Oryctolagus cuniculus: one gene and its partners. The protein of the gene in region 1 interacts with the protein of each later gene in a biochemical or structural test. Links are inferred from orthologs where the notes say so. Each region holds a gene or a part of one and is shown in the gene's direction. Other genes may lie near its edges.

Evidence for each region.
Region 2: the proteins of RPS6KA1 (region 1) and GRID2IP interact in a test that uses a peptide from one of them, tested with the Homo sapiens proteins (2 studies listed by BioGRID and IntAct, with this or other methods). The link is inferred for Oryctolagus cuniculus from reciprocal best matches to the Homo sapiens genes RPS6KA1 and GRID2IP.
Region 3: the proteins of RPS6KA1 (region 1) and MAGI3 interact in a test that uses a peptide from one of them, tested with the Homo sapiens proteins (2 studies listed by BioGRID and IntAct). The link is inferred for Oryctolagus cuniculus from reciprocal best matches to the Homo sapiens genes RPS6KA1 and MAGI3.
Region 4: the proteins of RPS6KA1 (region 1) and PDZRN4 interact in a test that uses a peptide from one of them, tested with the Homo sapiens proteins (2 studies listed by BioGRID and IntAct, with this or other methods). The link is inferred for Oryctolagus cuniculus from reciprocal best matches to the Homo sapiens genes RPS6KA1 and PDZRN4.
Region 5: the proteins of RPS6KA1 (region 1) and SNTB1 interact in a test that uses a peptide from one of them, tested with the Homo sapiens proteins (2 studies listed by BioGRID and IntAct, with this or other methods). The link is inferred for Oryctolagus cuniculus from reciprocal best matches to the Homo sapiens genes RPS6KA1 and SNTB1.
Region 6: the proteins of RPS6KA1 (region 1) and PDZRN3 interact in a test that uses a peptide from one of them, tested with the Homo sapiens proteins (2 studies listed by BioGRID and IntAct, with this or other methods). The link is inferred for Oryctolagus cuniculus from reciprocal best matches to the Homo sapiens genes RPS6KA1 and PDZRN3.
Region 7: the proteins of RPS6KA1 (region 1) and ERBIN interact in a test that uses a peptide from one of them, tested with the Homo sapiens proteins (2 studies listed by BioGRID and IntAct). The link is inferred for Oryctolagus cuniculus from reciprocal best matches to the Homo sapiens genes RPS6KA1 and ERBIN.

Annotation. Positions count from the first base shown.
Region 1 is NC_091438.1:144,950,243-144,953,742, reverse strand, and holds part of RPS6KA1 (ribosomal protein S6 kinase alpha-1), read left to right. Parts: intron 1-1,716; coding exon 1,717-1,797; intron 1,798-1,931; coding exon 1,932-2,011; intron 2,012-3,310; coding exon 3,311-3,417; intron 3,418-3,500. UniProt on the Homo sapiens protein: Serine/threonine-protein kinase that acts downstream of ERK (MAPK1/ERK2 and MAPK3/ERK1) signaling and mediates mitogenic and stress-induced activation of the transcription factors CREB1, ETV1/ER81 and NR4A1/NUR77, regulates translation through RPS6 and EIF4B phosphorylation, and mediates cellular proliferation, survival, and differentiation by modulating mTOR signaling and repressing pro-apoptotic function of BAD and DAPK1.
Region 2 is NC_091450.1:39,964,061-39,967,560, forward strand, and holds part of GRID2IP (delphilin), read left to right. Parts: intron 1-464; coding exon 465-619; intron 620-1,505; coding exon 1,506-1,643; intron 1,644-1,895; coding exon 1,896-1,996; intron 1,997-2,175; coding exon 2,176-2,293; intron 2,294-2,893; coding exon 2,894-3,243; intron 3,244-3,500.
Region 3 is NC_091438.1:56,976,569-56,980,588, reverse strand, and holds the start of MAGI3 (membrane-associated guanylate kinase, WW and PDZ domain-containing protein 3), read left to right. Parts: upstream 1-1,220; 5' UTR 1,221-1,837; coding exon 1,838-2,153; intron 2,154-4,020.
Region 4 is NC_091440.1:132,670,998-132,675,180, forward strand, and holds the start of PDZRN4 (PDZ domain-containing RING finger protein 4), read left to right. Parts: upstream 1-1,383; 5' UTR 1,384-2,782; coding exon 2,783-3,289; intron 3,290-4,183.
Region 5 is NC_091437.1:146,580,983-146,585,236, reverse strand, and holds the start of SNTB1 (beta-1-syntrophin), read left to right. Parts: upstream 1-1,454; 5' UTR 1,455-1,675; coding exon 1,676-2,252; intron 2,253-4,254. UniProt on the Homo sapiens protein: Adapter protein that binds to and probably organizes the subcellular localization of a variety of membrane proteins. May link various receptors to the actin cytoskeleton and the dystrophin glycoprotein complex.
Region 6 is NC_091441.1:75,889,378-75,891,667, forward strand, and holds part of PDZRN3 (E3 ubiquitin-protein ligase PDZRN3), read left to right. Parts: intron 1-862; coding exon 863-979; intron 980-1,662; coding exon 1,663-2,290. UniProt on the Homo sapiens protein: E3 ubiquitin-protein ligase. Plays an important role in regulating the surface level of MUSK on myotubes. Mediates the ubiquitination of MUSK, promoting its endocytosis and lysosomal degradation. Might contribute to terminal myogenic differentiation.
Region 7 is NC_091445.1:86,967,413-86,970,912, forward strand, and holds part of ERBIN (erbin), read left to right. Parts: intron 1-1,044; coding exon 1,045-1,166; intron 1,167-2,076; coding exon 2,077-2,250; intron 2,251-3,278; coding exon 3,279-3,464; intron 3,465-3,500. UniProt on the Homo sapiens protein: Acts as an adapter for the receptor ERBB2, in epithelia. By binding the unphosphorylated 'Tyr-1248' of receptor ERBB2, it may contribute to stabilize this unphosphorylated state.

The DNA of each region.
Region 1 (3,500 bases):
CTCTCTCACTCTCTCATGCTCTCTCTTTCTCTCTCTTAACTAATGCAAATGAACAAAAGCCAGTGCTTTGAAGAGGAAGTCCAGCACTCTTAGTCTGAAGTTAGCCTGAAGTGACATTAGTCCTGGTCAGAAGTAGCTGGAAGGCCCTCGTCCAGCTTGGGAGGCTAAGGGGGAGGTGAGACCTGACTGAGGGCAGGAAGACCAGCTGATGTCTGAATCAAGATATTTTTGGTAAAGGTTTATTTATTTGAAAGTTACAGAGAGAGGTAAAGACACACACACACACACACACACACACACACACAGGTCTTCCGTCCACTAGTTCACTCCCCAAATGCCTGCAATGGCCAGAGCTGAGCCAATCTGAAGCCAGGAGCTAGGAGCTTCATCCAGGTCTCCCACATGGGTGCAAGGGCCCAAGGGTTTGGGCCATCTTCTGCTGCTTTCCCAGGCCATAGCAGAGAGCTGGATTGGAAGTGAAGCAGCCGGGACTTGAACCGGCTCCCATATGAGATGCCAGTGCTGCAGGCTGGGGCTTTAACCTGCTGCACCACAGTGCCGGCCCCAATATTTAAATATTTTTTTTTTTTTTTTTTAAATTTGAAAGGCAGAGTTACAGGGAGAGAAGGAGAGAGGGAGATCTTCTATCTGCTGGTTCACTTCCCAAATGGCCGCAACGGCCCAGGGCTGGGCCTGGCTGAAGCCAGAGCCAGGAGCTTCTTCTGGGTCCCCATGTGGGTGCAAGGACCCAAGGACTTGGGCCATCTCCATCTTCTGCTGCTTTCCCAGGTGCATTAGCAGGGAGCTGGATCAGAAGTGGAACAAATGGGACTTGAACCAGCGGCACTCAGGGATGCCAGTGTCACAGGCGGTGGCTTCACCCTCTACGCCACAGCGCCAGCCCTGCAACTTCTATTCTTTAAAAAAATAAGAAAGGGGCTGGCGCTGCGGCGTAGCGGGTGAAGCCTCCACCTATGATGCTGGCATCCCATTTGGGCACCAGTTCGAGTCCCGGCTACTCCACTTCTGATCCAACTCCCTGCTAATGGCCTGGGAAAGCAGTAAAGGTGGTTCAAGTGCCTGGGACCCTGCACCCACATGAGAGACTCCGAAGAAGCTCCTGGCTTCAGATGGGCCCGAGCTCTGGCCATTGCAGCCATTTGGGGAGCGAACCTGTGGGTAGAAGACCCCTCCCTCTCTCTCTTTCTCTCTGCCTCTGCTTTTCAAATAAATAAATAAATATTTTAAAAAATAATAAAATAAAAAAATATGTGGGGAAGCCCACCCAGACCTGTGGCTCAGAGTCTTGGGCCCAGGGAATCTGTCTCCCTAGTCAGCTTCCCGGGTGAGCATCCGCGCCAGCCGCTTCTAGAATCTGGGCTTTGTCTGCTAGAGGACAGGGGCTGGTCGAGGTGCCAGGGAAGATGTGGGGCTCTGACAGCGTGGTGCAGAGGGACACGGGTTGTTCAGCCTGGCCGGAGGCGTGCTGGAGCGCAGGGCTAGACAGATGGGCACTGCCGAGGGCTGGGGGCTGAGAGCAGGCCTGGAAGCCGGGACCAGACCCGGAACGGAGGAGGCAGTGTGAAGTCAGCGTCCCCAAAGCCTGGGGCACAGAGCCCCAGGAGCTCGGGTCTAGTGAGAGCCCTCGGGTGGCCCTGGGGAGTGAGTGGGTGTGCCGTGTGTCCGGCACCGGGTGACTGCCTCTCCTCTGGCCAGTGCGCGACCGCGTCCGGACCAAGATGGAGAGGGACATCCTGGCCGACGTGAACCACCCCTTTGTGGTGAAGCTGCACTATGGTGAGACTGCAGCCCTTCCCCGAACTCCCGCACCAGCCCGCGCTCACCCTGGCCGGTGGTCTACACTGTCCAAGCTCCCACCTGCAGGCTGAGGGGCAGGTCACACGGCCGGTGACTCTTGCCCCTCTCCCCAGCCTTCCAGACAGAGGGCAAGCTCTATCTCATTCTGGACTTCCTGCGCGGTGGGGACCTCTTCACACGGCTCTCAAAAGAGGTGAGCAGATAACCCACTGACGGACCACAAGGCCTCCCACTCCTGGGTCCCGTACGGCCTGGGTGTGGAGCCACCTAGGCCTCCCCAGGTGAACCTGATCCAGGCCTTGTCCGGCCTGGCAGCGCCTCCGAGAGTTCCTCCCCAGTGGATGGAGGAGGGCTAGGCCCTGGGTCTGATGTTCACCGACTGGGGGGAGCTCAGGGTGCCTCTCCCCTGTGTGTCTTTCTTCTTCCAGGCTGCCCTGGGCAGAGCTGGGAGCAGCCAGGAGAAGCCCAGATGTGGCCGGCGCCGCGGCTCACTAGGCTAATCCTCCGCCTAGCGGCGCCGGCACACGGGATTCTAGTCCCGGTTGGGGCGCCGGATTCTGTCCTGGTTGCCCCTCTTCCAGGCCAGCTCTCTGCTGTGGCCCGGGAGTGCAGTGGAGGATGGCCCAGGTGCTTGGGCCCTGCACCCCATGGGAGACCAGGAAAAGCACCTGGCTCCTGGCTCCTGCCATCGGATCAGCGTGGTGCGCCGGCCGCAGCGCGCCGGCCGCGGCGGCCATTGGAGGGTGAACCAACGGCAAAGGAAGACCTTTCTCTCTGTCTCTCTCTCTCTCTAACTGTCCACTCTGCCTGTCAAAAAAAAAAAAAAAAAAAGAAGCCCAGATGCACCGAGAAAGCGGGAGACTCGCACACTCTTGTCCCACCTGTTAGCCAAAAGATTTTGAACTGATATAAAAGGATTTTGAGCCAGATACGAAAAATACGGTCATTAACACAATTCCAACTTTAAAGAGAACCAAGCTTTAAAACAAGGGTGGGGGGGGGGGGGTTGGTTTAAACCTTATTGCGGTGTTTGCATAGGTAAAACATTTACATGATTCAAAAGAAAAATATTTATGGGGAAGGCTTCCTCCTACCCCAGTGCCCTGTATCCCCTATCAGTAAACATTTTTATTGGTTTCTTGTTGAACCTTCCCATGTTTCTTCTGCAAACAAATCCCAGGTGTGTTCTGAATCGCCGCCGCTCTGGATACCATGCCCCCTGCCTCGCTGCGTTCCTTCCAGGCTGTGGGAAGCTCCTGTCCTAGTTCATAGCTGTGCACCAGTCCTTCTGCAGGGGCCAACAACACAGTTCCTCCCAGGCTTCGGCCCTGGGACCCCTGGGCTGTTTCCCGACAAAGACCACCACCCTGGGCAGCCATCATTTCATACTTCAAACCCCGTGATGATACGGAGGGCCGAGGAGGCTAGACCCTAGGGACAAGGAAGCTGCTGCCTGCCCAGGGCCCACTGAAGCCCCTCGCGCCTCTTGCAGGTCATGTTCACAGAGGAGGACGTGAAGTTTTACCTGGCCGAGCTGGCGTTGGGTCTGGACCACCTGCATAGCCTGGGCATCATTTACAGAGACCTCAAGCCTGAGAAGTGAGTGACCCCCCAGCCCCACCCTGGCCTCCCTCGGGGGTGCACAGACAAGGGCTGGGGCCTCTTCTAGAACAGGGTCACCT
Region 2 (3,500 bases), on another chromosome or scaffold:
GGCTGAAGCCAGGAGCCAGGAACCCCATCTGGGTCTCCCACATGGGGGCAGAGTCCCAAGCACTTGGGCCATCTTCTGCTGCCTTCCCAGGTGCACTGGCAGGAAGCTGGATTGGAAGCAGAGCAGCTGGGACTTGAATCGGCACTTCCATATGAGATGCCGGTGTTGTAAGCGATGGCTTAGCCTGCTGTGTCACCACTCCAGCCCAGTAGGTGCTATTTTGATCCCCATTCTATAGGTGGGCACAGAGAAGTTAAGTAAGCTGAGAAAGGACACTCAGCCGCTCAGTGGCAGAGCCAGGATTTGAATCTTGCCGACCTGGCCCCAGAGCCCACCTTCCTGCCTGCTGCTCCTTCTCTGGCTGAATTCTGTGGCCTGGAAGGATCGCCCTGGTCTCCACCCCACCCTACCCGCTGCGGTGAGCCCCTGGATAATGAACCCCTTTGTCCTGCACCCTCCCCCAGGAACATCGACACCCTCATTGTGGACGTCTATCCCGTGCTGGACACGCCTGCCAAGCAGGTGCTGTGGCAGTTCATCTACCAGCTGCTGACCTATGAGGAACAGGAGCTCTGCCAGGAGAAAATCGAGTGCTTCCTCGGCTACACGGCCATGACGGGTAAGCTGCCCCACCCACCTGGTGCACAGCCAGACACCTGTCCCCACCCAGGAGTCCTTACAGGCAGCTGTGCTCTCCCACCCGACTGCCTGCTCTCAGGCTCCTCACGCACAGAATGGGAGTGACCTCAGCAGCACTGCTTTGCATCCTGGGAAGTGTGCGTCACGGGCTGAGAAGTGTGTGTGTGGTTTGTTTTACAGATGCACCAGCACATGCCGCCTGGGTCACGAGCCCTTGGCCAGGGGGCACCTGGCTGGTGGGCTCCCAGCACATGTGCCTGAACACACACACACATGCGCGTGCACCTGCTGCACACACTCACAGCTTGCCGGGCCGTGAGCCTCCCACCTGCCCACAGCACCCTGCACTGTTAAGCCAGGTGGAGGAAGTGTGTCAGACCCTGTGAATTTGCCCTGTTCGGGGCTCTTTGCACCTGCTTTGACAGTCCCTGCAGGCCCCGCTATATGCTGGCCCTGGGGGCCCATGAGCCCTAGTCCTGGGGGCCCACAGTTTTCTGGGGGAGACAAGTGTCTTGGCAAGAAGCTCAGGGACTGGGCTGGGCAGCACACACCCTACACAGCTGTCCAGGCCAGGCCCTTCCCTGTTGTCCCCTAAGCCCCTTTGGACAGCAGTGATGAGCCTGGTCCCAGCATGGGACACTGAGCCCCTAGAAAGCAAGGGACCCTAGACTCTTACCATGGGAAGAACCCTGTGGATCGGATTTTGTCCCTCCGCTGGCCAGGCCGGGGGGCTCCTCCTGTGTCCTGGTGCCCGGTTTCCCTGGCCTGGGGCCCACTTCTTGGTCCAGGCGACTTCTGCCCTCATTGGAGGCTCCTTGTCTGGCTGAGAGGGTGGGAGGCCACCATCTCACCTGCATGTCCCACAGCAGAGTCAGAGCCGGAGCCAGAGCCGGAGCTGGAGCCAGAGCCGGTGCCCGAGCCCCAGCCACGGAGCTCCCTGAGGGCCTCCTCCGTGTGCCGCCGGAGCCTCCGGTCCCAGGGCCTGGAGACCAGCCTCAGCTGCGGTATGGCCCCCGATGGAAAGGCTGGGGTGGGTAGGTGGGAGAGGACCTCCAGGGCTCAGTTTTCCCATCTGCAAAAGGGGTGTGCAGTGCTGAGACTTGACAGAGAATGAGGGCAGGCAAGACTGAGCATGGCCATCCTGGGTCCGCGGGGCCTGTGGGATCCAGGCCAGGGCCCAGGCCTCACGGCTCAGGTGTGGTAAGGAGACCCCTAGGGCAGGCGCGGCCGCCCCTGATTGATTCCTGATTCCTCAGCAGGTCCCAGCGAGTGCGCTGAGATGCCGCTTCCTCTGATCCCAGGAGAGCGCCAGGCCGGCGACGGCACATCCCTCCCCGAGACCCCCAACCCCAAGATGGTGAGGCTTGCCCTGCCCCCCAGGTGGGATGCGCAGGGATGGGGGTGCCCATAGCTGAGGGGGCCCAGGAGGCCCCAGGCCAAGGCGCCCCCGTGGCTGCTGCTGGCTGGCTGAAGCCACATTAGGGCCACGCGGGAGACGCGGGCGTGGGCTGCACTCCCCATGCCCCGTCCCCACAGATGTCGGCCGTCTACGCGGAGCTCGAGTCGCGGCTGAGCAGCAGCTTCAAGGGGAAGATGGGGTCGACATCCAAATCCCTGGGCTCCCCGCCAGGCCCCAGCCCAGCAGACACGGCAGGTAGGGGCTTGCCAGCCCGGTCCCCGGAGGCACTGTCCTCCTGTCTGGTCGTCCCTGTGGTCCACACACCTGGGAAACGTCCCCGAGGCAGAGGGAACCCCTCCCCCAGAGGCCTCCATGCACGGGTCAGGGTTGTCCACGTGGTCAGGGTCATCCCGGCCCCTCCCATGTCACCTGTATCCCTCACCCCAGCCATGGAAGTCCCCGCGTTAGCAACGCGCCCTTGGACAAACTACAGCGTGCATGTGGGTTGCTGTGCGGGAGGGAGTCAGAGGACAAGAGCCCTGTGTGCCCAGGGCATGCTGGGCATGGGAGGGGCCACCTGACCCTCGGCCCCTCGGCCCTTTGAATGGCGTGCAGCTGGGCTGGGGTGTCTGTTTCAAGGTCCAGCCCGTCCAGGGGCTAAGTCGGGTCTCCCTCAGGTGCTCTGACCTTTGACCTCGCGCTGGGAAAAGCCTGGGAGGCAGAGTCACCCAGACTGGGCAAAGGGGAGTGCCTAGGGCCACAGCACTGACCTGCCCCGGGCCCTCCCCTCCAGCCTGCACCTGTGACCTGGGTGCAGGCTGAACAGGGGTCCTCACGCTCCATCCCCCACCCCAGGGCCCAGGACCCTGTCCAGCGTCTCCTGGCCCAGCGAGCGGCTGCTGCCCTCCCCCTGCTACTACCCGCTGTGCTCAGGGGACCCGGGCTCCCCCAGCAGCTCCGAGTCCCACCCCTACGCCAGCCTGGACAGCAGCAGGGCGCCCTCCCCACAGCCAGGGCCCGTCCACCCCGACAGCCCCCCCAGCCCGGACCCTGCCCGCCCGCCCAGCCGCAGGAAGCGCTTCACCTTCTCGCGCCCGATGCGAAGCCGGGACACTGACCGCTTCCTGGATGCGCTGAGTGAGCAGCTGGGCCCCCGCGTCACCATCGTGGAGGACTTTCTGACGCCCGAGAACGACTATGAGGAGGTGGGCGTGCCAGCAACGGGGTGGGGGGGAAGGGGCAGTGGTGGACATGGAGCCCGGCGGGGAACCAAGTCCCCAGCTCCTGCAGGGGGCCCAGTGACCTCGGGGTCTGCCCCAGGCTACCCCATCCTGTCCCTGGCCCCAGGCTATCCCATTTACTCTCATTACCCCATCCGTGTCCCAGGCTACCTCACCCACAGTCTCAGGGTAAACCACCAGACCCTTGTGTTCCTCTACCCAGCTTATCCCACCGCGTGCTG
Region 3 (4,020 bases), about 88 Mb from region 1:
AAGGAGATGGGAGAAAGCGTAAATGTGAAGTCTCAGAGCTCCGAGAAGACACTCCGCACCTGAGGGCCAGAAACCAGAGAAGGCTACCTGGAAGAAATGGCATCTGGGGTAAGAATGGATCGGATTTTGCAGAGCTGGAATGAAGGAAGGGCATTCCAAAGACAAGGGGAGGCGAGGGAGGGGAGAAAGCGCAGGAGGAATTTCTAAGAAATAAGTGTTGGAAGGGCTCTGAGGTATCCATTTGGCCAAGGTCAAACAGCGAGTAAGCAGCATGGGAAGACTGCAACTCAGTTATGCTGGCTACCAGGCTAGTTCCTAACCGCCTTCCACCTCCATCCACACCGCCCCGTCTGGCCCTCGCACTAGGCTGTAACCTCCTGGAGAGCAGGGCCTCTGTGTTCCTTCACCCCGGGAATCCCAGTGGCTGGCACAATTCCTCCCTACCACAAATTCATCATCATCTGCTACCAGATACTAAGGCGCATCCATCGTCTGGCGGGGCACCATGCAGATCTTTTACAGACATCTCACGTAATCTTCGCCAACAACTCGGACGGGTGCGTGTTAAGGATACTTTCAGCAGAGGCCGCTTCGGTTCAGAGAGGTCTTCTAATTGGCCCCAGCTCACGCAGCCATTGCAGCGCAGGATTCTATTTTACCTTCCATCCACGGGACTCTGGATCCCCCGCCTCAGTGGCCGTTCAATAACATTTGTTGAACGAACGAACGAACAAGAAGCAGCACAGATCGACTCAAGGTAAGTGACCGGCTGTGGCAGGCGCCCGGGACTCGGCGCGCCGTCTTCCAGTCTAAGCACTCCGGCTCCTCTCAGCGCCCCGCGGCGGCTCCGAGGCTCCGCCCCCCGACCCCGCCCGGCTCGCCAGCCACGCCCCCACCTCGGGGAGTTCGGGCACTCCACGAATCCGAGTTTTCCTTGGCTTCAGTCGCCGCGCGTAGGGCCTCTCCCTGCCAAGCGACCTGCAGTCCGCTCCACTTCCCTGCCCCTCCCCATCGTCCTTCCTCACTCTTCCAAACTTCTTTCCACCCTCTCTAAACTTCAGTCATCCCAATGCCCGCCCCCTCCACTCCCGTCAACCAATCACCTGCGCTCATTCTCGTCGAGGGTCCGCCCCCTGCCTGCCGGGGCCCAATCCCCGGCGCGAGAGTCGAGAGCTGGGCTCCTTCCCAAGCGCCTGGCCTGTGACGGCAGCGCGCCGGGCGCCGCGCGGCGGGAGGGGGCGGGGCTCTGGATGAGGGATGGGCGAGGGCGGGGGGAAGGGAAGAGGGAGGAGGAGGAGGTTGCGGCGGGTTTGAAAGCGGCAGTTTCCTGGCAGCCTGGGCCAGGCGTCGGTCTCCGCGCTCCGGCTCCGCAGCAGCCCGGGTCGATCCGGCGACGGCTCTACTTCTGCGCGCCCCCGACGGATTTTTTCCCGTTCCGGCTCTTCCCCCCTCGCCTCCCCGCCCCCCTGCCTCAGCCTTTCCCGCCGCTCGGGCGCAGAGCCCGGGGGCCAGCCGTCGGCAGTGACCCCGCCCGAAACCCCTTCTGGAATCGCCCGAGGACAATTCCCTTTTCCTTTCTTCAGCCGAACCCGCGGTGGCCCTCGCGGAGCCCGCTCAGCCCCAGAGAGCGCAGCCGGGAGGGACGTCTGAGGGGCGTCTCGGGGCTCGGAGGGGCCGGCGCCCGGCGGGCTGAGGTGGTGGTGGTGGGGGTGCCAGAGCGGCGAGCCCCCCCTGGCCGGGCTCCGCGGGCCGCCCGGGGCCCCCCGGCTGAGAGGGGGCGGGAGCGGCGCCCCGGCCGCCCGCGCGGGGTCTCCCCCATGGTGCAGCGGGGTTCGGGATGTCGAAGACGCTGAAGAAGAAGAAGCACTGGCTCAGCAAGGTGCAGGAGTGTGCGGTGTCCTGGGCCGGGCCCCCGGGCGACTTGGGCGCCGAGATCCGGGGCGGCGCGGAGCGCGGCGAGTTCCCCTACCTGGGGCGGCTCCGCGAGGAGCCCGGCGGGGGCACCTGCTGCGTGGTGTCAGGCAAGGCGCCCAGCCCGGGGGATGTGCTGCTGGAGGTGAACGGGACGCCCGTCAGCGGGCTCACCAACCGGGACACCCTGGCTGTCATCCGCCACTTCCGCGAGCCCATCCGTCTCAAGACCGTGAAGCCAGGTACGCCTATTCTGCCTTGCTGTGGTGGTGGTGGTGGTGGGTGGAGACTGAGGGGGTGGTCAGGGAGGTCCGAGGTGGGCGTCCTGGGGCGCTGGCATCTCCCGCCGCTTAGGGTCCCCGGGCTATCTCAGACCTCCTGGGTGTGCCTGACTCCCTTGGAGGGGGGTGGAGGGGGTGGAGAGAAAGGGTGCTGATTCCCATTTTGCCGATTGGAAAACTGAGTTCTGGATTGGCATGGCTGCTGTGTCACAGAATTGCGACCAGAGGCTGGGTTTCCTAAATCTGTAGCTCCGTCGCCCACCGCAGACAGTTTTCTGCTGGGAGGAGGCCTTGTGGAAAAGGTTCTCAGGACTGTAGCATTTTCTTGGGCATGGTCTTAACGCATCTTCTAACAAGGAGTAAGGTTTTTACTATGGAGGCACTTGGTGCCAGGGTCACCACCTGGTGCAGCTGGGAGGGCTTAGCTGCTTCGGGGTGTTTTGCACGCCAGCAGACATCTAACAGCCTAACTCAGGCCAGGTGGTTCAGGTGTGTGGGAGCCGAGGAGGGTACCGGAGGTGAAATGTGACCGAGCCGTGTGTTGTTGAACGTGAGTCTGGGTTTTGAAGGAAGAGCGAGGTGCCTGGCTGAGTAAAAGGATTTTCTGGAGCTTTTGATTTTAACAGAATTCTGTTGAAGTGGTAGGTGGAAAGAGCACCCGTTGCCCTGGTGTGTTTCATGCTAGTAAAATCTGGTGCAAAGCACATTACGTTTATGGCATACTTGCCAGTTTCAAAGCATTGATCAGATTGCGTACAGTGGTTCAGTGAGAGCTGGTAGTAGGTAGTAGTCCTGATGAATTTGTTGTCCACTGTTATCGTCGGGTGTGTTAGAACGGTAGGATGTTCTGCCTTCTGAGGTGTTTGTAGGAGAGGGAATTAGGATTACAACGTGATTAGAAGTCAAGCTGTCTTCTTCCTGAATGTGCACTGCTGAAATGATGCATCACAATATGATGGGCTGCTTAATTGTGATCTGGGCTAGATGTCAGTCCATCTCTTCACTACAAAATGCTAGAAAATTCTGGAGAAAAATTTGTCTCCCTCAGTTTTTTTTTTTTTTTTCCTTTCCCAGCAGCTCACTTTGGAAACATTTCTGATAGTTCTTATTCTTAATGGGAACTGATGGTTTGTGGTGCACCGTATACATAAGGATGAGTGTAGTGTGGTTATATGGATGCACACACTCACATGGTTCTTTAATCTTAAATGAAGATTTTCTTCATATTCCATCATCATCATTTTAAGTTTAAGGATTTATGTGATGTTTTCATTGGTAATTTTAAAAGCTCTGGCAGGCTTTAAAACTTTATGTAGTTTTGAGAATTGCAAAATTCTTTCTTTCCCCTAACTTTTAGGACCATATGTGAAGATGGATAAAGGAAACGCTTTTAGGGTTTTAGTTCAGACACTCAGGCACTGTCAACAATACTACATAGACAGCCTTTGCTACTCTAGGTGCCTTGTAGTTCAAATCCCATGAGTCAGTGGATAATGGGAATATCTGCATCATTGCTTTGTGTTTTGTTTTGATTAGTTGGAGTATAAATTAGAGTATAACTGTTACCTTTAAAAAAGTCTTACTGTTGCTAGGTTGATGAAACTGGTATATTCCAAATTATTGTGTTTCTTTTGGAAAATCAGAGAAATGGCTTTTTAATGAATATTAATCTGGTCTACATGTTATACATTTACTCACTCTGCATATCAAATTTAAGAAAATAATTCAAGGTTTAGAGTGTGTTTGGTGATGTTAATGAACTGTGTTGAATAAACATCCTTTGCCTCACAATGTTGTTGACATTTTTATTGTAAGAATGTTTTGCCCT
Region 4 (4,183 bases), on another chromosome or scaffold:
CTGGTGGGCCTGCTGTTTTTCCTATCCAGGGAGTCTCTCAGATAGGGAATCGTGATCGGTGAGAACACAGTTAAAGATGCCGGGCTTTGACTTGTCTCATCTGCCAAAAGGCACACAAATGTTACCCAGCCTGTTTTTTTTTTTTTTTTTTTTAAGATTTTATTTATTTATTTGAGAGGTAGAGTTCCAGACATTGAAAGGGAGAGGGAGAGACAGAGAGAAAGGTCTTCCTTTCGTTGGTTCACTCCCCAAATGGCCGCAACGGCCGGAGCTACGCCAATCCAAAGCCAGGAGCCAGGAGTTTCTTCCGGGTCTCCCAAGTGGGTGCAGGGGCCCAAGCACCTGGGCCATCCTCCACTGCCCTCCCGGGCCACAGCAGAGAGCTGGCCTGGAAGAGGAGCAACTGGGACTAGAACTGGCGCCCATGTGGAATGCCGGCGTTGCAGGCTGAGGATTAACCAAGTGAGCCGGCCCCACCGGGCCTGTTTTGTTGAAATATTTGTGCATAGTTTCAATTCATTGCCAGTGCTGTCTTTGCTCACCTAAGCCAACTTCTTCTATTTAATTAGGCTCCATGTTGCTAGCTCACCCAAGCCTTTCAGTGATATTACAATTTTCCTTATAAATAGAAAAAGCTTTCAGTTTGGGAAGTGAAAGGGACTGACCAGCTGGTGTCTCTGATTTATTGGGCAACAGTGTTTTCAGGTGGGAAGGATCCAGGAGGTTCCCTTGTGTGCCTCTGTTCCCTTAGTGTACAACCCGGAATGTTTTTCCCCCGCATGCTTAACTCCTTGGGAAGTGCTCAAGCTTGCATTTCCTTATATAAAAGATTTTCCTAAGCTCTCTTTTGGCCTACTTCATTTCTTGGCTTCCCTTCACATGTTCTCATTTTTAAACTGTTATTCTCTGTGGACAAGGGTTTTCACATCTGCCTTCTCTTTAATAATCAAAGTGTTGCACATCCTGGAACCGCTCACAGCATCGTCTGCACAGTCCTTACTTTTGCAGTAGGAACTGTGCACGGGTGGACCAAGAGCACTGCTTTTCCTGGTTTTATTTTTTCCAAGTAACTGCAAGTTTCATTTTCCTGATACTTTGATAAGAACATTTTTAGATTTCAACACTTCCTTTTTAAAAAGTATTCTCGGTGTTGACGGGTTTCCCATGAAGAATATAAATGTCAAGTCTTAACTGTCTTAGCATTTTACACAGCTAAAAAAAGAGGGACCAGGTCCCTGCTGCCCTGATCTGTTGGAATAAAATCTACCACACTGTGCATTCCCACGTTCCTAGTCCGTGTAACCCACAGAAATGCAAGCATACTTGCAAACGTTTTTGGGAAATGCTCGTTTGGCATGCATGGATTAAAAAAAAAGTTTGCATGGAAATAAATGTACCAGTTAATTCCATTTTCCCACAAATGTTTTTAAGTACCTTCCTAGTTCATGCTGTTAACGCTCCATGATTTATTTATCCAGGGGCTTCTTGTGTTAATTCGTAGAAAGATAGGCCAAAGGAAAGGTGGCAGGGCTCTGGAATGCGGTGTCATGGAGGTGGCTCTACCTGCAGGCATGGAAGGTGGGCTGGGCCATCTTCCTGAGACACCGGGTCTTGGCACTGAACGCAGAGGGCTCCGGGCTCCCGCTCCGCCCTCCGGGAGATGGCCCGATCAGGCCTGTTGATGGCCCCATCACGAGCCCTCGCTAACGCCTCAGCTGGCTGTATGGGTTTGGAGGACAACGCCGGCGCCTTCCTGTGCGCTCCTGCAGACGGCAGCCGCAGCTCCCCCAGGGCAGCTCCCCTGGCTGGGAGGAACCCTCCGCCACTGACTCGCGAAACGCGTTCTTGGCAAGGGGATCGCGACGGTCAGGGACGGTGCTGGTGTCGCCTCTGCATCCCCAGGCTCCGAAGGCGAGCAAGGAGGCGGCGGCAGGGCTGGGGACGCCACACAGCGGGACAGGGACAGCTGGCGTCCACACGTCTACTCGGGGCCAACCGGCCGGCCAGAGGACTTGATGTCTGAGCGCCTCCACTGCCTTCCCTCTCGCCCCCTTCCTTCAGTTTTCTTTTCCAGGTGCGCACAGGAACTCATGCCTCTTCCGGCCCCCGACGCGGACTCCCCGGGGTGGCTCCCAGCTTCCTGGCTGGGCAGGAGACCTCGCGGGGCGCGACGACGCCCCCACCCCCACCCCCAGCGGCAGGTGTCCTGGGCGGGCACCTGCCGGCTCCCATCCTGGTGCCAGCATCGGGTGTCTGGATCACGCTTTCGGCGGCCTGGCTCCCGGGAGGTCCTAGGCGAGGAGTTCCCAGTGCTGGGTTCCTGACGGTGAGGCTGCCCCGCGCGCCGATTGGAACGAGCCGCAGCACAGGTGTTCCAAGCGCACTTGCTGGAGAGCGCGCTGATGCCCGCAGGTGAAGAGAATTTAAAAGTCGCTGCTCCATGCCCGCGCCGCGCCAAAGCCGAGGCCCCTGCCTGCCCGGAGTTCCGTGCGCATCCCGAGGAGGCTGCAGCCGTCCGATGGCCCCGGTCCTCCGCCGACCAAAGCGAGAAGCTGCGCAGGAGGCGGGGGCTCCCGAGGTGGCTTCTATTAGCGTCAATACGGCGGAGGCTAGGGACCTAGCGGGAGCCTGAAAACTTGGAGCCAAACAAACTCTGAGCTCACAGCCGCCGCCGCCGCCCCCGCGCACTCCGCGAGCCCGGCAGCCGCGAGTCGGCGGCCCGGGCAGGGCGCGGGGACTGCGCGCAGCGCTCCGCTCCGCTCCCGGCGCCCCGGCCCCTGGCATGGGCTTTGCCCTGGAGCGCTTCGTCGAAGCCGAGCAGCAGGCCCTCGCCTGCAAGCCGTGCGGCCGGTGGCTGCGGGAGTCCTCGGGCGCGCCGCGCCTCCCCGCGTGCGGCACCCGCTGCCCCCGGCGCCCGCGCCCCTGCGCGCTGCGGTGCCCGCCACGGGCTCCGGACCGGGTGCGCCGAGTGCTGCCGCCGCCGCCGCCGCCGCCGCCGCCGCCACCGCGCAGCCTTCCCCAGGAGCTGCGCACGACCCGGCCGTGCGAGCTGGCGGCTCCCGTCGAGCGCAGGGCCTTCGTCCCTTCCCGCCACCGCCGCCTTGGCGACCCCCGGGGTTGCGTCTCGGGCCTGCGCGGCGGCGACGGGCGAGGGTCCGGGTTGCAGGACCCGGCTGGGGGCCGGCGTGAGACGGCGCAACCCGGGACACGCAAGGCCCGGGACGAATCTCCGCAGCTCATGGCTGGCGCCCGCACCTTCCCCGGAGACCTGGGCGGCGGCCGCGGCCGGGTAAGCACGGGGGGCTCGGGCTACGAGGGCAGAAGCGAAGTTTGGGTCTGAGCGTCCGCGAGCTGCTCGCGTTGCGGGTCCGCGCCCCGCTAACGCGCTCTCGCTGCGGTCCGTGGGGTGGTCCCCCTTCCTGCCTCCCGCTGGGCGTGCGCCCTGCCGCGGGTCCGCTCCAACTTCCCCGAGACGCAGGAGTGAGCAGGGGAGCCCGTTTTCCCACCGCGTCCCTGCACCTGGGAAGGGCGCCCCGCTCGGGGACCCCAAGGGCTAAGTGGTTGGGAGGCGAGGTTTCTTAGGCCCGCAGACCCCGTGTGCTGCGGGGCCTCGCTGCGAGCTTGGGCGGGGGCGTGTGTGCGAGAGCGCTTTAGCCGCCCCCACCGCACCCTCGTCTCCCTGCGGCCCGGGGCGGTGTTTATAGGGCCGTCCGGTCGCTGGCCCAGGGCCTGGCGCCGCTGGCCGCTGCGCGGGGAGCCGCGGCTCAGCCCGACTCGCGCTCCATTCAAGGAGCTGTTTGCATCCCCGGCGCTCCCGGGGAGGGGCCGTCCCCAGAAATGCCCATTTGGGGCTGGCCGTTCGCGCCGCCTCCGGGGCGGGCGGCTGGGCGAGCCGGGGCGCTGCTGCCCTGGAACTCCGGCTAGGGGCCCGCGCTCCCCTGTGTGCGGTGATCGATGCGAGGGGCAGACCCGGGAGAGACGCAGGGCAGCGCTAGGCGTGGGGACCTCCGGGAAGAGCCTCGCGCCGCCGGCAGAGGCCGCTGTGCGCGCTGCCCGGAGGCGCTCGGGGACCCTGGCCTGGGGCGCGGGCCGTGCAGCGGCTTGGGCGGAGCTGCTGGGGTTTCCACTCGCACGCCGCCCTGGGTGAAGTGCACCTTGCGGGCTCTGTAGTGCCGTAACATTG
Region 5 (4,254 bases), on another chromosome or scaffold:
CCCAGGAGCTGCCATCCCTGATGTGGGCACCTTTACATAAAGGCATAAAGTGCTTTTAGAAGTTGATGAGCTAAAAATAATACAAGGGCATGGGGGAGAGCGGTAAGTGGAAGCATTAATCCAAGGGCTCTGCCCAATCTGCAAAAAAATGTTCAGGTGTTTTCAGTTCCTTCTGTGGCCCTCGCTGGAACTCCACTCTCTAGGAATTCATCTGAGTTTTTAAGCATCCCTGATTAAAAGTGTGAGGGCTAAGAACTTTCAATGATAAGACACATCAGGTGTTCAGGAAGAGTTCTCTCCTTCTGACGCCTTGCTGTGTTGCCTTTACCTTCAGGGATTAATAAATTTGTGAATATTGTTTTGTTTTTGGAGAGAGTGGAAAGAAGAGTGGGAAGGGAGTGTAGCTAAGAAGGGCTTTGAATGGACCCTGAGACCACTGGTTCAGTGTGTGTGTTGGGGGAGGCAGTGGAAAACCTGAAAAGTTCAAGGGCAGGGGAACTCCGGAACATCCACCTATGGCATGGACTATGTTGGCATTTCCGGATTGGCCAGGAAAGGTATCCAAAAAACTAACACTGTTACCCTGAAAAAATGCAACACGAGATGCAAATAAGTAACAAGCAAAGGAACCCTGCAGATGCAAGATACTCCATCTGAGTTCTTGAATAGGAGAGCTCTTGTATGGTGTCTCAAGAAGGAGAAAGCAACATGAAGCATTCAGTGTGGGACTGTGGCTGGAGAGACAGGTCAGAAGCACAGAGCACGTAATGAATTCCAGCTGGAAGAACGTTTGTCCCTGGGGTCCAGGCAGGCTGTGACCTGTTGAAAACCCCAGGCCAAAGGAGAAACCGCTCCAGAGCCCGAGTAGAACAGATGTGTTGCATTGAAGAAGAGGGTTAGACACGTGGGTTACGCGCTTTATTCTAGGACCGCGGGGGCAGCTTTCCTTGTTGACCCTGGGATCGCCCAGGCCCTCGGTCTGCGCCTACCTAGCTTCCCGAGAGTCCCTTTGAAAGGAGGGACAGGTAAGCACTGAGTGAAGCGCTGGTTTGGGGAGACCAGGGACCAAGGAACAATTCTACCCGCCGGGTGCGAAAGGGAAAGGGATAGGGAGGATCTACTTGGATAAACCCAGGCAGGACGCCCACGGTAAAGGAAAGGGGGCTGCGGCGAGTGGAGAGACGTGAGACGCAGAAGGCGCTGGGGTGGCCGTCCCCGGGTGCCCAGGTCTGGCGGGGTGTGGCGGCGAGTGACCGCTGCGGCTGCTGGAACAGGTGAGCGGCGGCAGGGTGCGCGGTCCCCGCCCTTCCCGGAGCGTGCGGCGCCCTACGGACTCCAGCCAGCGCCTAGCTGTTCCGCGGCTCCCCTTGGCGAGGGGTTTTGCAACTAGCAGCTGGCTGCCTTTTTTTTTCCCTCCCCTGTCTAGGTCTCTCCTTCTTCTTTTAGGTTGCTCCACCCCGCCCAGGATCAGGCGAGGGGGAACAAGCCAGCCCCGCTGCGGCTGCCAACCCGCGCCCAGTGCGCCTGCGAACTCCCGGAGCGGAGTCCCGCGCGCCGCCGCGTCTGCACCGGGCGCGCTCTGCTCTCTGCCCCGGACCCCGCGTCCTGCTCCCCGCAACCCTTCCCCACTTTTCCCCCTTTTGCAATCACATGGCGTTTTAAGAATGCCGGAAAGATGGCGGTAGCGGCGGCGGCGGCGGCGGCGGCGGCTGGGCCGGCAGGCGGGGGAAGCGGCCGGGCTCAGCGGAGCGGGCTGCTGGAAGTTTTGGTGCGGGATCGCTGGCACAAAGTTCTGGTGAACTTGAGCGAAGACGCCCTGGTTCTGAGCTGCGAGGAGGGCGCTGCGGCGTACAACGGCATCGGGGCAGCCACCAATGGCTCGTTCTGCAGGGGTGCCGGGGCCGGGCACCAGGGCGCGGGCGGCGCGCAGCCCCCGGACTCGCCCGCCGGGGTCCGCACGGCCTTCACCGACCTCCCGGAGCAGGTGCCCGAGTCCATCTCGAACCAGAAGCGCGGCGTGAAGGTGCTGAAGCAGGAGTTGGGCGGTTTGGGCATTAGCATTAAGGGGGGCAAAGAGAACAAGATGCCCATCCTCATCAGCAAGATCTTCAAGGGGCTGGCGGCGGACCAGACCCAAGCTCTGTACGTGGGCGACGCCATCCTATCGGTGAACGGAGCCGACCTGCGGGATGCTACCCACGACGAGGCGGTGCAGGCTCTGAAGCGCGCAGGCAAGGAGGTGCTGCTGGAAGGTAAGGGGTTAACGCCGCGCTGGCCGCACGCACCTGCGGGTTTTCCCACCCGCACCCCAGGGACCCGGCCCTGTGCGTGCAGGTGAAGGCGGCGGCGGCTCTTGGGATTTTTGACAACTTTTACCCAGCTTGGGGCAACGTGCCCCTCCCAAGGGGGGTGCACGGAAAGACAGGCGAGCGGGGTTTCAGGGCCAAAAGGTATGCTTAGTGTGCGATGTTTCCTTTTCGTCTGCGGATAATCCAAGTGTAGTGGAAGGGGCTTTGAGGTGTTGGGAGCGTCGCGGAGCGGATCCGCTCGGTGGTAGCAATGCAGTTTTCTGTTCTGCACAGTTTCCCACTCCGAAGCCTGCGCTAGCCCGCTGACAGGACTGAATCATGGAGGAGCAGGAGAGAGCGAGCAATATTTCAATGCCAAAACTCCGGTCCATCCTTCTCTATTTCCCGCCTGCAGTTTGGAGAGCGGGCATTGTGCCCGGGGAGTTGTGCCAAGGGCTAAGAGATGTGTTGCAATTTTAGGCAAAAGTTCACTTCCCCTGCCGGGTGTTTGGCCGGTCAGTCTGGATTCCTGGCTCCTCTGGGTGCGGAGCTGGAGCTGGGTGAAGTGGTTTTTCTGCCTGCATTTTCTGGAGCTTTTTCAGAAAGGTGTGGAAACAAATTTGCCCTTTGGAAACAGTTTCCCCTGAGCGCAAGGACTTTTTAGAAACTATCTTCTGTGGTCTGATGCCTCTCATTCCTTCGTCACCGAGTGTGAATAGAAGAAATAGCGATTTGTACCGATTCTGGAGCATGTGGCATTATGCAGGAGAAGAGAGCAGTGAGATAGTACACTGAGCACATGTTCTTTGCTGTAGCTGCGTTTCTCATTTGCTACCTGCTTTTCCTCCCGCTCTGCGTGCCTCTGCCGGCACTGACGCCACAATGTAGTTTGTCCACTTATCCAAGGCCCCCTTTACCTTACAGAGTGAATCGTCCAGAGTCCCTCACTTAGTTAAAGGTCTGTCCTGAGCTTGGGTATCCGATGACACGCATACCTTGTGAGTGAAGAAAGGAACTTGGCTATGAAGCAATATTCAAACCAAGACTTGGTGAAATGGCATCGATTTAAGTTCTAAACTCGGGACGTAAGTCAGGGTGCTGGGTGTGTGAATCTGAGAAACTTCAGAGTTGGGAAACCAACTTTGCACTGTGTGTGACAATTCAAGCAACTCCCTAATGTGTGAAGTCCCACCTCTTGGCCTAGAAGACAGAGGGCTTCTTTTCTCCCCCTTATTTGTCTAGAGGATCTGTGATGTCTTTATATTTAATTACCACCCTGGATCCAGAAACTGGAAGTCTGTTTGCTTTGGCTTGATGATTAACATAAGTAAACAACAAAGTTTTTTTTTGATTCAACTGTGTGTTGCTTTGTGTGAGGGGACAGGTGGGATCTGCAGCAAGTGTAGCTTGTACTCTAAACTGTTGGGCAGTTCTTCAATTTGCAAATACTTACTGTGAATACTGGGGGAAGGTGCAAAAGCCAGGCTATTTTAATTTTAGAATATCTTGTATGTTGTCCCTTTTTCTTTCACTGCCAAGTCATTATTCATTAAATTGAAACCAAAGAGGTTAAAAACAAAACAAACTCCCATCCAAAAAGAGGAAGAAAATGTGACTCCCTGTGGTTGAAAATAAACCTAGAGAAGCAAAACACAAACAAAAATCGGTAGCAACTGAAAAGGGAGTTGTGTGAAAATCTCTAACAGGACATTCTTAAGTTTTGTTATGTTGCAGGCAATACTTCAGGATCAAGACCTGTGGGCTTCCTAGACAGGAACCAACCTGTGCCCAGTGCTGCATCTTATCCCCAGTGAGAGTTTTCCGAAATCTAATAAGAGGAGCCAGGGGAGGTCCTGCATAAAGCAATCTCCTGTTAATGAGCTAGTGTTGGTCCTGGGTGCTATGGCAGCAGTCACACACCGTGAGGTCAAATGCAAATGAAATCCTCTCTTCTGCGGCTTGGCCT
Region 6 (2,290 bases), on another chromosome or scaffold:
CGGGCTGTACATCGTCAACCCCTGAAGAGTCTGCTCTTTTGAGGGGCCTGATGAAAGGGTTATTCTTGTCCAGGCCAAACACTTACTTTAGTAGACCTGCTTCTGTCACAAAGAACTCTTTTGAGTTTCTCTTTGGGGGCTGCTCAATCCGTGTGTGGTCCAGCAAGCAGGAGGCCTGGCTGGCCCCACCTGACCCTGCCACACAGACAGCCTGTTGGACTCACTCCCAGCAGCTGATGCAGGGGAAAGAGTGCTCCCTGCAAAACACACAGCGGGCACCAGAGACTTCCCCAGATGTGATGTAGGGTTGGCGGTCTCTTATTTGAAGATTTACTCTATTTATCTGAATGGCAGTGTTACAGAGAGAGCAAGGGAAAGACAGAGTGAGAGAGAGGGAGAAAGAGAGATCTTCCATCCACTGGTTCACTCCCCCAAAGAACCACAACAGCCGAGGCTGGGCCAGGGATGAAGCCAGGAGCCTGGAACTCCATTCTGGTCTCCCACTTGAAGGGCAGGGGCCCAAGCACTTGGACCATCTTCTGCTTTCCAGAAGCATTAGCAGAGAGCTAGAATGGAAGTACAGCACCTGGGACTTGAACCAGTGCTCAGATATGGGATGCTGGCATTGCAGGCAGCAGCTTAACCCACGGTGCCACAGTGGCAGCCCAGTGGAGGTCTCAGGAGTGGGTGGCTTCCCAACCTGCAGCAAAAACAAGGGGCACACTGCACTGGGATGACTCCCGGAGGGAGCCCCAAAATATTTTCCTCTAGGGTAATGTCCTTTCTTTTAACAAAGAAATCAATAACAATGAAAGCAAAAGGAAACTTACAAGGCACTGTTGGCTACTGCTTCTCCCTGCAGCTGGACGAGGGTTGGATGGACGATGACCGGAACGACTTCCTGGATGACCTGCACATGGACATGCTGGAGGAGCAACACCACCAGGCCATGCAGTTCACCGCCAGTATGCTCCAGCAGGTAACACCGGCCACGACCCCTCACCCTACTCCCCGCCCAGCTGCACCAAGGGGGCTGCTCCCTCCATCTCCCTTCCTGATCCTAAGACCCAGAAACCCACTGACCTGAAAGACCGCAAGAGAATAGATTAAGTGCCTTCTCCTGGAGCATGAGGGAGCTGCAAGCTGATACTCTCCATGAGCGAGCTTTTAACAACTGACCTTCTGAGAGCTGTTTGAAATGCACACGTGCTAGCGTTAAGGTGCAGTGGGGAAAATAAAGTGCTGTTTGCAGAAGCAGAGCCATTCCCTGTTTAACCTGAGCTGCTAAGAGCTCCCGACTGTGCCACTATCCTTTGTCAGAGTCATAATCACCCAGTGGAGTCCCTCTGAGCTAATGGAGGCCAGTTATGCAGCCTGCTACCCAAGGACGGGTCGTCCAGTAGTTCAGCCATTCACTGAAGGTGACAGCTACCCCGCACTGACAGACAACTGGGCCACAGTGCAAGGATTAGAGACACCCAGGGAGACAGGAGGAGGGTAGGTGCATTCCAGTCCTGCCCTCAGCGGCTTGGAAGTGGAGAGCCGCCCTTCCCAGGAAGGTTGGCCTTCAGGGGAAAGTCGGGCAGGACCTGCGTCACCTCCACCGCCACTTCTCGCCGCTTTCGGCAATGATCGTTTGTTCCTGTGGTTTCCCTTGTGCAGAAGAAGCATGAGGAGGACGGCGGGACCACAGACACCGCCACCATCCTGTCCAACCAGCACGAGAAGGACAGCGGCGTGGGGCGCACGGACGAGAGCACGCGCAACGACGAGAGCTCCGAGCAGGAGAACAACGGCGACGACGCCACGGCGGCGCCCGCCGCCGCGCTGCCGGGCCACAGGAAACTCACCTGCAGCCAGGACACCCTGGGCAGCGGCGACCTGCCCTTCAGCAACGAGTCCTTCGTGTCTGCCGACTGCACGGACGCCGACTACCTGGGGATCCCGGTGGACGAGTGCGAGCGCTTCCGCGAGCTGCTGGAGCTCAAGTGCCGGGCGGGCGGCGCCGGGCCCTGCAGCCCCTACTATGCCGGCAGCGGCCTGGACGCCGCCAAGAGCGACCCCGAGAGTGTGGACCAGGAGCTGGCGCTGCTCAACGAGGAGCTGCGCAGCATCGAGCTCGAGTGCCTGAGCCTGGCGCGCGCGCACCGGGCGCCGCCGCTGCGCGAGCCGGGTCGGGAGCCCTGGGCGCTGCCCCACGGCGGCCTGCGCGCCTGCACGGCGGGCGCCGACGCGCGCCGCCGCGAGCTCTCCGACATCACCGAGCTGCCGGAGAGGTCCGACAAGGACA
Region 7 (3,500 bases), on another chromosome or scaffold:
TAATTTAAAGTTTTTAGCATTATGCTAGTTTCATATAAACATTCAAATTGACCATGTATGGGTATTCCAGGAATTTCAGTTTTCTTATTAGCTAATAATTTTGGTGCTTTTAATCTTTTTTTTTTTTTTCAGGCAGAGTTAGAGACAGAGAGAAAGGTCTTCCTTTTCTGTTGGTTCACCCCTCAGTGGCCGGCGCACTGAGCCGATCTGAAGTCAGGAGCCAGGTGCTTCCTCCTGGTCTCCCATGGGGTGCAGGGCCCAAGCACTTGGGCCATCCTCCACTGCCCTCCCAGGCCACAGCAGAGAGCTGGCCTGGAAGAAGAGCAACCGGGACAGAATCTGGCGCCCCAGCTGGGACTAGAACCCCGGGTGCCGGCGCTGCAGGTGGAGGATTAGCCAAGTGAGCCGTAGCGCCGGCTGCTTTTAATTTCTTCTTAAGTAGTGATAGTCATTTTTTTAATGGATAAAAGAGTTGTGATTTTTCTCTTGTATTACAGTTTCTGTAGAGTGTAAAATAGTTGAAAGGATTTTTTAAGTCCTAACATTTTTAGTGATCTACCTTGTATATAATGTTTAATGCAAAGATGGCATACCATTGAGGTAATCCTTTTTATCAAAATATCTTAATGTTATCAAACTTTCCCATGCCCCTATACACATAATAAACTACTGGAATTAGAAGTTACAAAAATGCAAATTTGAACAAAATTATATCTTATATACAGTATTACCATGTTACCTTGCAGGGTAGTTCACAGAACTGTCTGTCTAGTGTTTTAATTGATAGACTCTCTTCAGGGCCCCTTCTGGTATAAAAACAAGAGACACATCAGCTGCAGAGAGAGAAAAGATAATGTGATTTACTTTGTAAAGAAACCTTAGAATCACAGTCTGATAGTTACCTTAGGGTTTTATTGCTGCTATCCTTGCCAGCCTTAACTTAGACTTGCTCTGAAGAACATAACACATAAAGAAAATTATTACTAAATAGTGGTTTTCTATAATTACAGTAATATGTAGTTTTTTGGTTTTTCTTTTCTCCAGTTATGTTCATATCAGATAATGAAAGTTTTAATCCTTCATTGTGGGAGGAACAGAGGAAACAGCGAGCTCAAGTGGCATTTGAATGTGATGAAGACAAAGATGAAAGGGAAGCACCTCCAAGGGTGAGTCTGCTCCTTCAGATTTAAACAGACCTGCTAATATTTAAATTGGTGCTATACACCTCTACTGTGCTACTTGGGTCTTAAGAAAAACTACTAAATTCATTCCTTGTCCTCAGGGAACTTACTAATCCAAAATATTTCACATGTGAAAACATTTGAGCACAATATAAAATGATGTTATTAAAAGCTGAATTTCTGGTAAAGTTAATTTAAGAGAAAACCAGACTCTTCTTTAGGCTAGGGAAATTAACCAGAACTTCGTCTCTAATTAGTGGCTTTTAAAACTCGAGTTGAGTTTTCTTCCTTGTTCCCTAAATTTATAGTGATTTTCCCCCTTTCCTTTAAGATTTAATTACATAAATCCCGGAAATTAATAACTTTTTGTTACAGATATTTCGATTCCTTATGGGATTGAGAACATGTGTCACAATGATTTTAGTAGAAAGTACATATTTACAGTTTACTTAAGGATGTAATTATTTGCCACTTATGTACCTAGCTGAATCCCAGAAAATGACAGTTAGGCTGACCTTGGCAGAGTTCTGTTCCTGGCACAGGAGACTTAAGTGTATGTGTGAATTTTACATTTGGATAAATGTCTAGATGGTAGAAAGCATATCTGTTTCAAACCCAAGTGACACAATTTTGTCAGTATCCCCACTGTGTCTCCAAATAGAAAATATTTAAGTCTGTTGGAAAAAGATTTCAAAACATTAAAATTTGTAGTTAAGTCTTTAACTATTTTGTGCTAAAACCACATTTTTTAAAGTCTAAAATACTTTTAAAACCTGTCATCTGTCCTCAGAGTTGTGAGCTAGGTATTTGGTGTAGTTCAGATGGATTATAAAATTTTTTGAGATTGACATTAGAAATATTTATACTTTATGTTTCACTTATTTAATTCCTCTAGGAAGGAAATTTAAAGAGATATCCAACACCATACCCAGATGAGCTTAAGAATATGGTCAAAACTGTTCAAACCATTGTACATAGATTAAAAGATGAAGAGACCAATGAAGACTCTGGAAGAGATTTAAAACCACATGAAGATCAGCAAGTTGTAAACAAAGATATGGGTGAAAAGGTTAGAAAACTCAATTCAAAGGGATTGACAAAGCCTATATCCAACTCATTAAAAATTTTAACTTCTAAATGATAAATTGATCCTTTCTGTATATGCTAAATGTACTTCTAAGTTTGTGGTTTTGTTATCAACTACCTGAACTGCAAAGCTATGGTGATAATGAACTCCCTAATTGCTATTATTATCATTCCATGGCTGTACAATCTTCAGTTTGGCAGGATAGAGTCAACGTAGTCTCTCAAAAAAACCATTGCCTAGGGGATGGCCTCATGGTGCACCAGATTAAGCTGTTGCCTGCAGTGTCAGCATCCCAGATGAGTACCAGTCCGAGTCCCAGCTGCTCCTCTTCCAATCCAGCTCCTTGCTAATGCACCTGGGAAGGCAGTGGAATATGGCTTGAGTATTTGGGATACTGCCACCAGAGTGGGAGAACCATATAGAGTCCAGGCTTCTGGCTTCAGCGTGGTCCAACCCTGGCCATTGCAGCCAGGAAGAGCTCTGTGTCTTTCTCTCCCTGTAACTGTTCCTTTCAAATAAATAAAGTAAATATTTAAAAGCAAGAAAATCATTGCCTGAACAAAGAGTATGCCTGGGAAATGATTATTGGGAAAATATTATTTGTGCCCTCCAGTAATACTGATCCAATCTATCCAATTCTGATTTCAAAGGTAATTGTTAAAACAGACATTTGAATAAGATTTTATCAGATCATTACAGTTACTGTATATCCCACAATGAGCAGAAAACAATTCTGACCATCAGTGTGGAGCTTGCCAAGTTAAGTGACTGATTTGTCTAAGGCAGCCTTGCAACTTTTAAGGGGAAGAGTAGCCTTAGCTGAATTATCAATTATAATGTGGCACATGAATCTTCAGAGGCCACCTGTTCCCCAAATGGGTATTTTTATCTGTGAGTGATAACAAGTTTCTAAGTTTAAAGTTTCCTGAAAGTTGACACGTTACTTGCAAATTTTTATCTAAACTTTAATACAAAAACAGATATAAGAATTAATATTTTCTTTCACTTAGACTTCAGAAAGTACTGCTGCAATAAAAAGCAAAGTTGATGAAAGAGAAAAGTATATGATAGGAAATTCTATTTTGAAGATCAGTGAACCTGAAACTGAGATCAGTCCTGGGAGTTTATCAGTGACTGCACATATGAAAGCCTCTGAGAATGTGAAGCACATTGTTAACCATGATGATGTTTTTGAGGTATGATTTTATAATCATTCTGGAGCAGTCGTAAGA